2 linked regions of the Sus scrofa genome follow. The protein of the gene in region 2 purifies or fractionates together with the protein of the main gene of each other region. This does not show direct contact. Links are inferred from orthologs where the notes say so. Each region holds a gene or a part of one and is shown on either strand. Other genes may lie near its edges.

Region 1 (5,731 bases), on a different chromosome or scaffold from region 2:
ACATCTGTGGGAGAGAAGTCCCCAAAGGCCTGCCATCCATTCTCATCATCCTCGTAGAAGCGAACTTCAATGTCATCTACAAGGAAAATTGGAAGTTTGGCCACAGCTCCTAGTAAATCTCCAGGGCCATTTGCCCTGAATCTGTTCCAGTCCCCAAGCTTGACCCCCAGTGTCCCTAGCTCCCGGCGTGGGCTCCAGCCTCACCTTTCTGCACCTTGTCACAAAGCAGATAAACCTCATCTCCACCCCGCACAGAGCCAGCTGTCTTGTCCATTCGAGAAATCTTCAGGTTTGAGGCTCCAGGAGACTCTATGGAGGTGGGATATCAATTATGTGAGATGATATAATAGTCGTGGTCCCATTTATGGAGCCAGGTTGCTTTGTATCATTTGGACAATGCCAAGAAGTACAGGAAGTGCTAGTATCTTTGTTTACACAAGACAGAAACCATATTCAAGAGAGGGGAAATGATTTGCTCAGGATCACTCAGTTTATTCATGGTGGGGCCAAGTTCAAACCCAGGCCTATCCTACTCCACAGCTTGAGGCTGCCCTCCATACTCCCTCTGGCACCCTGGGTAGTCAGGATACTCACTGCTGTCATGGATGGGTTGGGAGATAACCGGCTTCAGGGGCAGAGAGAAGGAGCCGTCACTGGCTCGAAGGAAGGCAGAAAAGCGCAGCCGCACAATGCTCAAATCCATCACCTTCTTCAGCTCCTTAGCCTCCTGCTCCAGCTCCCGACGCTCAGCCTCTGGGTATTGGGCACACATGTGACCCCTGGACTCCTCCTCCTCCTCTACTCTTCCCTTCCATGACCACCTCCCTTGACTCCCTCCATCTCCCCCATACCTGTAAGGCCCTGAGGCCTGGAGCGAAGCCGCTGCCTCTGAAGTTTTTGTATCATAATCTCCATCATGTTCTTCTTGGTCACATGCAGGACACCCAAGTTATTAAATCTGGGTGGGGGAGGGAGGGAGTCAGAGGCCTTGCAGGCAGTTCTTTGCTCTTGAGGCACCCTCCCCACTGCCAGGACTCAGCTCAGCCCTACTTCTCTAGGAAGCTTTTCTAGTTTTTACTTGGGGCTTTGGGTTCTGGGGCCAGCTGCAGTCTCTCCCCTTGGTCAGACACTAAGCTCACAGAGGTGGGCCAGGGCCTAGGACTGGGACAAGCAATGAGGGGGCATGCCATTGGGAGCCAAGGGTATGGGGCACCTACTGGGCAGTCATGTCCTTGGGCCCCACAGACACTGCGCAGACCCCCAGCTCCGAGCACTGCTTGCCCACCAGGCTGTGGGCATGAGCACGAGGCGGGTCACTGTGTGTTACCAGGTCCACCTCGATCTTCGCTGGTCCCTCATAGTTACAGATCTGTGAGGGGTGAGGGCTGTCAGTAATGTTTATGGACATTGTCCACGAGTCACCCCTGCCCCCCCCAGCACCATCCAGGCTCACCTTGACAGTGGGATAAGTCTTCCGGCCCTTCTCACTAGAGGCACCTGGCAGTCCTCCATGGGAAGGGCCTTCGCAGCCATATCGGAATCGGAAGCCTCGCTGAAGGTGCCAGGGCAGAGTGACATTGTGACCATGAGGCCCCCAAACCCCCCTCCCCTGCTACCAGCCAGCAGTGACCATAATAATTGCATGTATCTATCCTGAATTCACAACCATACTGCTGTGATCAGCAGCAACCAACCACCTCAACCCAAGTGGGTCTGTGGTCACCATGGCCACCCAACTATCCCACTTGCCCCCAAAGCTGAAACCATTCCATGCCATCTCTTTCACTCACCTGCTTAGGCTGTTCCACGATCACCAGGTAGGGGCCATCAGCTGGGGACAGAGGGACTTTGTTGAGCCAGGACTTCTGAGTCCATTCCCAAGGCAGAGGGCACATGTTCCTCCCTCCAAGACAAGGGGAGGTCGGGGGACTTACTAACCTGTCTCTGGGGCCGGCTCCTTGGGCTCCACAATGGACGGGTTGAATTTGAAATCATCATATTCGATGATGCCAGGCAGACTCTGCTGTGGAGACAGACTGGGGTAGCATCTGATTCTGAGCCACTCTCGGGGCCCTCCAGCTCTCAGCTCTCCAAGCCCTCCATAATCACTCCTCCTCCCCAGGCCCATAAAAGAAAACTCCTATTGGAAGCAGTTTGCAGACAGAGGTAACTGACAGGCAGGCTGAGATAATCTAAGGACATTACAGGTGCAGGCAGACAAGCAGACAGGCACAGGGGGCAACCGGCCGGCTTTGGGGCCAGGCAAAGTGACTCACTGGGTCGTAGCAACTGTCCATGTCTCTGGGCTAGGCCCAGCTCTGTCCGGTGGCTCCGGCCGGCCGGGTGCTGTTTCCCCGGAGTTTCAGGCGCCCGCCTTAGGTGGGGAGGAGTGGAGGGGTTGGGAGAGAAAGATCAGGACGGGAGTTGGGGGGAAAGGGGGGGCCTGGATTTAGGGGAGGGTCTGATCTCCAGCCACCCGTCCGGGTGTGGCGGGCAAGATCCGGTGGAGGGCAAGATCCGGAGCTGGGCTGGGCCGGGGAAGGGCAGGAAAGTTAGAACAGCTTAGGAAAGTCCCGAAAATACCAGGGGGAGGCGGGGCCGGAGGGGGCGGGCCTGGAAATGACGCACTGGCCACGCCCCCGAGACGGGAGGGGCTCAAGGTCTCAGTTGGCTTGCTAGCGCCCGCAGCGTCTCCGCGAAGTCGAGGGGCTACCAGATGCTGGGAAGGTCCCGCGGGGCTGGGCACCCCTTCCTCCTCCCTCCAGGGCAGGCGCCGGGGACGGGAGGGTCTTTCAAAGCTGGGGGAGGCTCCTAGTACGGGGTCAGGTCCGCCTCCTTCCCTCCCCCGTCCTGGAGCAACCTTGGGATTTTCTACCCCGAGTGAGGCCACGGCTGAATCACCCTGGGGGCTTTTGGGGGGACATTCCTGCAGTAGGAAGGCCTACTCCCCGAAGGCCTGTAGGTGGGGGCTCTTCCCAGTGAGGGGCCCCGGGGCTCTGCCCGGATAACTGGTCTCTGGGGCCCTGGGGCGGGGGAAGGAAAGGGTCTCCTTGGGATGGGCTCCCCTGTTACCCCTCCCGAAAACATCTCAACAGCCGTTAATTCCCACACTGCACCTACTCTGGCTGCCTACGCCCTACGCCCCAGTCCCAAAGCCGTGTGTAATACATGTATGCATCTGCATCATAGGTGTACAAGTGTGTTTCGGCCCATGTGCTTGCGTGTTGTGTGTTCATGGCTTGAACATGCGTATACAGGTGAGTGTCCTTAAACTTCTCAGTGCGGAAACATCTGAGCATGTATGTAAGAGCACAGGTGAACACATCTTCGAGTTTGTGCGTGAAGGGTATGGGTCCAGGCACCTGTGCACGGTGTGCGTGTTTTGCGGGTCCTTGTGTGAGCGAGTCTGCATGGATAGTGCTGTGCACACGCCGGCATATGTGAAGGTGTAACAAACGGCCCGCCTGTCTTTATACAAGGACATCAGTGTGTATGCGTGTATCTTGATCGTGTGCGTGCTCTCTGTGAGTGTGCAGACGCCTCTCTTCAGCCCTTGGGCTCGGTCAGCTAAGGGTCCTCCTCCCGCCCTTCCCCGTGTCCTGCCACCCAGGGGTCTGAACCCGGCCACTCACCGCTGCGGCGGCTCAGGTTCCGGATTCTCTCCCGGCCCGACCCACCCCGGACGGGTCGCGACACCTTTCCAGCTACCAGGACTCCAGCCGGGAAAGCCCCTTTTCCGCCCCAGGAGGGGGGAATTCCCGTGACGTTTCCGTGCGTCACTCCCCATGCCGTTTTTCATTGGCTGAAAGTTTAACTCCGGACTCGAGTAACCAATCGCAAGTGACTCAGGCGCGCCCCTTAGAGGGGAAATATTTGCTCAGCGCGCGAAGCGAGAGTGAGGATGGCCCTCAATCAGGTGTGAGTTTTGTCCTAGGGACCAGCCTGCTGCGGGATCCGCTGACCCAGCGCCATTCCCCAGCCGAGGACCGCGGCTCCGGTCTCCTCTCTTACCCTGGCCTGTCCCAGCCGGCTGGCAGCCCCTGCTGCTACTCAGCTTATGTTGCATCTAATGCTTGGCCACCTCAGAAGCCGGGGAATCCCAAGGGGAAGCTGGAGGGACCCAGCCCTCTGGTCCCTCGCTTCGAGCGGGGGCCCCGCTGCCGGGAAGAGTTAGGGGAAGAGGAAGGAAGTTGATTTGCAGTTGGTGCCAGAGCGCCATCTGGTGGCCGCTCTGGAGCCTCGAGGAGACTCCGTAATCTCAGTCTTCCCTGGAAGAGGCAATCTGGACCTAAAACTTGTTCTATAAAGTTTTTTGTTTTTTGTTTTTTTTTTTTTTGCGGGGTGGGGGGCAAACTTTCAGACCTGATCAGGAGCTCCGCGTTGGGTAAGAGAAACGAGGTGTTTATCTGGGAGACTCAGGCCTTGTTCATCATTCACAGAGATTTGGAATATCAGAATAGAAAAGCCATCCAAAATTAGTTCAAACTTCGCCAGAGTAGAAAATTATCTTTTGTACTGTTTGCAGTGTCTGCTACTCCCTCCTCGTCCATCTTACTGCTTCCTCCCTCCCCCTTGATAACCACAGGTCTGATCTCTATGTCTGTGAGTCTGTTTTTGTTTTGTAGATATTTGCCATATTTTAGATTCCACGTAATTGATGTCATATGGTATTTGTCTTTCTCTTTCTGACTTACTTCACTTAGTATAAGAATTTCTAGTTGCATCCATGTTGCTGCAAATGGTATTATTTCGTTCTCTTTTATGGCTGAGTAGTATTTCATTGTATATATGCACCACATCTTAATCCATCCATGTCGATGGACACTTTGGTTGTTTCCACGTCTTGGCTATTGTGAATAGTACTGCAATGAACCTAGGGGTGCATGTATCTTTTATTTTTTTATATGCATGTATCTTTTTGAATGAAAACTTTGTCTGGATATATGTCCAGGAGTGGGATTGCTGGATCATATGGGAGTTCTGTATTTAGTTTTCTGAGGAACCTCCATACTGTTTTCCATAGTGGTTGTAACAATTTATATTCCTACCAAAGGTGTAGGAGGGTTCCCTTTTCTCCACATCACCTCCAGCATTTACTATTTGTAGACTTATTAATGATGGCCATTCTGACCGGTGTGAGGTGGTACCTCATTGTAGTTTTGATTTACATTTCTCTAATAATTAGCAATGTTGAGCATCTTTTCACATGCCTATTGAAAGACATCCATATGGCTTCTTTGGAGAAATGTCTGTTTAGGTCTTCTGCCCATTTTTCGATTGAGTTTGTTTTGTTTTGTTTTTTGTTATTGAATTGTATGAGCTGTTTGTATATTTTGAAAATTAAGCCATTGTCAATCACATCATTTGCAAATATTTTCTCCCATTCTATGGGTTGTTTTTTCATTTTGTTTATGGTTTCCTTTGCTGTGCAAAAGTTTGTAAGTTTGGTAAGGTCCTATTTCTTTATTTCTGCTTTTATTTCTACTGCCTGGGGATACTGACCTAAGAAAACATTGGTATGGTTTATGTCAGAGAATGTTGTACCTGTGGTCTCTTCTAGGTGTTTTGTGGTGACATGTCTTATGTTTAAGTCTTTTGTTTTTTCTTTTCTAGGGCCACACCTATGGCATATGGAGGTTCCCAGGCTAGGGGTGAAATCGGAGCTGTAGCCGCTGGCCTATGCCACAGCCACAGCAATGCTGGATCTAAGCCACATCTTCGACCTACACCA
Region 2 (5,945 bases):
TGCAACAGTTTGCATTTTTCTTTAGCACTCTGTGCCTGGCACTCTGCTGTGCTTGTTACGTGGATTGTCTTGTACAATTTACCAATGGCCGAGTTTTATCATCAGGGAAACAAAGGTGCAGAGGTGGGCACCTGCTAACACATTAGTGGGGGGTCCTGTTCCCCAGCCCATGTCCTCAGGAACTTCTAGTATCAAAATATGAGTACAACTAACTCCTCTTGGCTAAAGCTTCCTAAAGCAGAAGTAAGGTCCTGGCTGAATTTAAACCAGGAAGATGAAAGCAAGCGACAATGAAGAGCCTTCCAGCTGTAGGCCAACCAACTTGCTGCCACCCCAAGCCTGAAACTGGTGTTTCCTATCACCTTGCAACAGCCTCCCCTCCCACGCACTGGGCCTGGGGCTGCCTGCAAAGCCTGGCCGGGAGGCTGGTGTAGACGGTGTGAGAAGCTGTTCTCTGAAAGAGTTCCGTGGTTGGCTGTGGTAAATGCTCCCACACAATTCTCCACCTCCACCTCCACTTGGGGTTCGAATGACTCTCAGTGTAGGAGTCCCACAGCTGCCCGAAGAAGACAGTGATCAGAATTCTGTTTGTAAAAATCCATTTAATAAATATACATCTTAGAAGTACCAAAATAATTACCAACAAAATACATTATGTACAGTATTTACAGCAGGGTAACACAAACCTTGACAGGTCGTGACTTTTAACCCCACCCCACTGACAGGTTTAACAACACACCTGATTCTAACATTTCCCAGATACACCTGGGCTCCACCACTGACTCCATGGTGGTTCAACCAAGAAGCGCAATAAATAAAAGAGTCCCATCAAATTAGGGATAACCTTTCCCCCAGGCCCCACCAAGGTGCCGTTTAAAAGAGGTTCTCTCTGCATTCCGATGATCCTCCTTGGCGCCTTTCCAAAGTTCACAAGAATAACAAAATCGGGGCTAATCCACCAGAGCAAAATGTTTCAGGCCAGGCAGTGTGCGGTGTGGTTATAAGTATACCCTTTTTTCTTTTTTTTTCTTTTTTTCTTTTTTTTTAGAAAAATAAAACTCTTGATTTTGTACAAATGTACAAGTCCATGGTCTTTTAGACACTTTCCAAAGCTCATAACGTCAGGCGCTGGCCTCCAAGCACGCAGTCGTCATAGGGCAGCTAAAAGGGGAAAGAAAGGCATGTTAAACTTCCAGAACTTTGCCAAAGGTGCTGGGGTGATGGCAAGGGCTGCTACTGGAAATAACGCAAGTATTCTTGGACTCCGTTCCCTCTAACCCGAATCTGAATTAACTTCCTGGGCTGAAGTTTTCCTTTAAGGATCCTCTCCTTCAAAAAGAGCAAAAAAGCAAAAGAAAACCCCAGACCATAATCCTCCCCCTAAACCTACTCTTAGGACACTGCTTATGCTCCCTAATTTGAGATCCTCATTATGTTGAGACCCTCAGGAAAAGGAGGAGCTCTAGGGGTCCGAGAGCATTGCTTTTTGCAGACCCGTGAACAAGGTCATTGGGACTCACCTCATCCTCTGTGAACTCTGACTCCGTGTCATAGCTCTCCTCATCCTCGCTCTCTGGAAGCATCTGGAGGTTTTCTAGGGTCAGCTGGCCCAGCTGCTGCTGTATCCGAGTGCTTGGGCGGCCCCAGGTGAGCTGGTACGGGGAGTAGCCCTGGTAGGTGACTCTGTTGACATCAGCCCCACACTTCAACAAGAGCGACACCAGGTCGGGATTCTGCAGGTCCACCGCAAGATGCAGGGCGGTTCGGCCATTGCAGGGCTCCTGAAACCAAAAGGAATTTGAGATGCTTATGGCTGAGTCTGAGGTTTCTGCTAGCAGCAAGAGCATGTGATCTTATTGAGGGCTGAATGCCCTCCATCTGTAGGCTTGAAGCACCCACCTGAGCGTTGACATCAGCACCCAAAGACACCAACAGCTCCACAATGCCCAGGTAGCCATGGATCGAGGCTAAGTGCAGACATGTGTGGCCTAGAGTACCAAAAGTAACAAAATATAAGCACTTGTTGCCACCCTCACTTCTCAGAACTTTCACCTATTCTTTTAAGGGAGGAGGTCTTCTGAATTTGAAGAACCCAGACTCTGGGTTCTGAATGGACTTTAGTAAGGCATCAAATGCATACATGTTTTACTAAGACCTTGATGCATACATGTTTTCTCAGCCTTTCACGTGTTGAGAGTTTACACCTTGCCTTAAGTCGGCCCACCTCTCCCTTGTCTGTGTCACGTGCCCTCTGATGCATAGGGCAGCCAGACTTACCATTGTAGTTGGTGGCCTGCAGAATGGAGTGGAGGTGCTGGGTCCCGCGGGGCTGAGTCAGGACTCCCACACTGGCCAGGCAGCCCTGCTCACAGGCAAGGTGTAGAGGGGTATTTCCTCGAAAGTCTCGGAGCTCAGGATCACAGCCAGCTTCCAGAAGTGCCTCAGCGATTTCTGGCTGGTTGGTGATCACCGCCAAGTGGAGTGGAGTCTACCAACAGAAGAGGGACAGAAAGGATAAGCCATGGATCAAACCCACAATCCATGTTCCCCTTGAACCCTAGAGATATCCTGGTTGTGCGTGCCGCTCCTCCCAGACAGATACAAGGGGTTAAGGAAACAGACGGGAGACCCCAGGTGGGCTTCATAAAAGCCTCACCAAATCAATGGGATTTTTCCTTCCTCTCTAGGATGTTGGCTGATTCAGATGTAAAAGCTCAGGGCGGATCATGACTAGGGGCAGTTAATTGGGAAATCATTGGAAATAACTGTGCTAGATCCAGCTCCATCAAGGGGTCAGAGAGGCAGAACCCAAGAGGCACGGGGCGGGCAAGCAGCGCACCTGCTGCAGGTTGTTCTGGAAGTTAAGAAAAGCCAGATCTCCCTTCACTTGGCGGACCACTTCCATGGTCAGTGCCTTCTCTTCATGGATGATGGCCAAGTGCAGGAACCTGAGGGGAAGAGAGGGAAAACCCCCAGGGCTGGTGAGTGCACTGCGTGGGGCCCAGGGAGGCACAGCCCGCAGGGGATTGCGCAAGCCCGGGGTTTCTGGAGGCCGAGGCCGCGGTGTTTTCCGCGAGGTTATTATGAGCTGAGTGTTCCTGGCAGGCACCCAGGGACTTTCCGCCCCCCCCCCCTCCCCAGGCGGCGGGCGCCGGCCAGACCGCCCCGCCCTCCCGCCGGGCCGGAACGCCCTGTACTTCCCCTCCCGCCCGCCAGCGGGGCAGAAACTCCCGCCCCCCCTTATGCAAGCGGGGACTTCGCGTCCCCGTGGCCGCCCCGCCCCCGGCCGAGGGGACCCGCAAAGGTGGGTGAGGGGTGGGAGGTGTGCACGGCTGCAAGGTAGAGCCGCGGGACCACGGCCCCAATCCCCGATCCCCGGCTCCCACGCGCAACCGTGCACCTTTGCACAGCCTCGGGGTCCGTGCACGAACCCCGATTCGCGGCCGCAGCGCGGGCCCCGCACCTCCGGCTGCAGGCCCAGCGCCCCCACCCGGCCCCGCCACCCGGGCCCGCGACACTTACGAGTCTCCGTCCTCGGTGAGCTGCTGCTTCCAGGGCTCGGCGCCGCGGGGCGCCTCCTGCGGCTCGAGGCGGATCTCGCGCAGCTCCTTCACCATCTGCTCGTACTCCTCGTCCTTCATGGAGTCCAGGCCGCTGTCGTGGCGGTCATCCAGTAGCCGCTCCTTCTTGAGCGCGTCCCGGGGCCCCTCCATGGCCCACTCCTGGCCGGGCTCTGCGGGCTGGAACATGGCGCGATGAGGGCTTGGGCGCTGCTCCCTAGGTGCGCGGGCCACAGGCTGCGCGGCGCGCTGGCTGCTCGCGGTGGCTCGGGCGGGCGGGACGATGGCCTCGGACTGTTGTGGGCTCGGCAGCGCCGCCGCGGCGCCCTATAAACGCTGGCAGGGGATTTCTCCTGGGCGGGGTCAAGCTCGGGGAATTTCCAAGCCAGTCAGACCAGAAAAGAGAACTGGCCTCGTCCTCTGCTGGGGGAAAAAGAAGCCTAAACCCCGCGCCCGGGTTCATCAGAGAAACTCCCTGCGATGAGCCACTGGGGTCATGTACAGGGAACTTTTTAATGCACGCTGAGTGGCTGGAAAGTCCTCCCGACCCGGCCCCCTCCCCCGGTACTTCCCTGCAGCCTGCAGTCAGTAATCCTGGCCCTCTGCATGGAACCTTATTTTCCCTGGGGTTTCCCACGATCGATTTGATTTGGGGTCGTCGGCTGCTAAGATCCCAAGGATGGAGAACTGCTGGTTTGCTGACCTGCCGATGCTTTCCTTTTTTTTTTTTTTTTTTTTTTTTAATCTCTTGAAAATGGGAGTGGAAATGTTGGCTGGATCTAGGGATTCACTTCCCTAAACTCCTGGGGAAGGACACACTGAGGGTGGAAGGTCGCCGGCTGCCTCTGCGTTCCTACCAAAGACCAGGCTCCTGGCAGTGCAGGGACATAAACCTCCCCCTCCCTCAAGCCCCCCTCAGGTAGAAGTCGTGAAAGCTTTAGCATTAACAGCGTAAATGCTTAGAGAACCCTCAAATCATTTCCTCGGTATGAACAGTCCTGTTGACTGGGGGAGGAGCAAGCACTCTGCCCTGGATGCTGGAAAATGCTGGATATGACTGGGCTATTTTTCAGGGAAAGCAAGGTGTTAATTTTTATAGCAAAGGTTGTAGATACTTTGCAGTGACAAAATAATTACTGAGGTCGTGTTCCTCCATTTGCACTGTGCTGCTGCAGAGAACCTACTTGTGGGGGCCGCTTTCTAGAAGCATTTGGAGAAGGTGGCTAAAGAATGGGTTGAGTAGTATTTTACCCAAGATTGGGCCTTAAAGATGGCTAAGAAAGTAGTTGCCAGGCATACTGCAGGAGGCTCAGGGCAGCCCCAAGGTGGCCTTCATCCTGCCCCTGCTGGCTTCTTGGGGGACAAAGGAGGGGGCAGCAGTTGGACCTGTCCATGCCATATGGGTAGCTACTCCAGGTTCACCATGTCCAGGTCTCAGCTGCAGAAACAGAAGTATGCTCTCTGCCCCATCCCCACCTCCTAGCCAATGAAAGGAATGCATTCATCTACTTCTAGAAATGGTCCAGGCCCTAATAAAGCAACTTGGATCAGACTTTTTCAGAAGGCACCCCAGGAAGCTTTTATAGTTTTGCAGAGATTTCTCGTGATTGTTGCAATCATCTTCAACTTGACTGGCCATGCACCAACCAATCCTTTTCCTCTCCTCATCTCCCCCTCCCCAATACCCCCACCTCTGATATCTGAATGTAGGGATGACAGACAGAATATGAGGGACAAAATAAAATCAAGAAAGAAATCTTTGGGGTAGTAACGATCACATAATAAAATGAAAACTGTCCAGGGAGAGACTCTGTATGTCTTTGTAGGCATTTGATAGACAAATACATCATTATTAGGCAAGGTGGCATGTGACGCTAAGTAGGAGATCTCACTTCCCAGCTCCACCCTTAATGAGCTGCACATTAGTTGAATGAATTAGCTACCTTTGCTATGGGGTACCTTCTTTTATAATAACAAGGTTGGATTTAATGATATTTAGATTTTTTTCCAGATTAAAAATGGTATTACTTGGAGTTCCTGTCGTGGCTCAGAGTAAACGAGTCTGACTAGCATCCTTGAGGAGGCAGGTTTGATCCCTGGCTTTAATCAAGGGGGCTAAGGATCTGGCGTTGCTATGAGCTGTGGTATAGGTCACAGATGCCGCTTGGATCTGGTGTTTCTGTGGCTGTGGCATAAGCTGACGGCCACACCTCCTGGGAACCTCCTTATGCTATGGGTGCAGCCCTAGAAAAAAGACCCCCCCCAAATGGTATTAATTGACCATGAATACTTGTATAACTTTGCTTAAGGGTGACCATGTCTCTTGGAAATATCATAGGATAAATTTTTAGAAAGACTCCAGTACTTTCTGCAACACATTCTGTT

What was found. The genes of interacting proteins can lie anywhere in the genome.
Region 1: the proteins of NFKBIA (region 2) and NFKB2 purify together in Homo sapiens (affinity purification with mass spectrometry; 6 studies listed by BioGRID and IntAct, counting the BioPlex papers as one, with this or other methods). This does not show direct contact. The link is inferred for Sus scrofa from reciprocal best matches to the Homo sapiens genes NFKBIA and NFKB2.

What each region holds. Positions count from the first base shown.
Region 1 is NC_010456.5:113,404,435-113,410,165, reverse strand, and holds the start of NFKB2 (nuclear factor NF-kappa-B p100 subunit), read right to left. Parts: upstream 3,755-5,731; 5' UTR 3,633-3,754; intron 3,258-3,632; exon of another isoform or gene 2,735-3,257; intron 2,603-2,734; exon of another isoform or gene 2,375-2,602; 5' UTR 2,298-2,374; coding exon 2,277-2,297; intron 2,024-2,276; coding exon 1,939-2,023; intron 1,832-1,938; coding exon 1,791-1,831; intron 1,553-1,790; coding exon 1,454-1,552; intron 1,370-1,453; coding exon 1,218-1,369; intron 959-1,217; coding exon 852-958; intron 754-851; coding exon 595-753; intron 310-594; coding exon 205-309; intron 77-204; coding exon 1-76. UniProt on the Homo sapiens protein: NF-kappa-B is a pleiotropic transcription factor present in almost all cell types and is the endpoint of a series of signal transduction events that are initiated by a vast array of stimuli related to many biological processes such as inflammation, immunity, differentiation, cell growth, tumorigenesis and apoptosis.
Region 2 is NC_010449.5:64,505,923-64,511,867, reverse strand, and holds NFKBIA (NF-kappa-B inhibitor alpha), read right to left. Parts: upstream 3,750-5,945; coding exon 3,523-3,749; intron 3,305-3,522; exon of another isoform or gene 2,955-3,304; intron 2,949-2,954; coding exon 2,840-2,948; intron 2,489-2,839; coding exon 2,278-2,488; intron 1,989-2,277; coding exon 1,900-1,988; intron 1,782-1,899; coding exon 1,521-1,781; intron 1,162-1,520; coding exon 1,114-1,161; downstream 1-1,113. UniProt on the Homo sapiens protein: Inhibits the activity of dimeric NF-kappa-B/REL complexes by trapping REL (RELA/p65 and NFKB1/p50) dimers in the cytoplasm by masking their nuclear localization signals.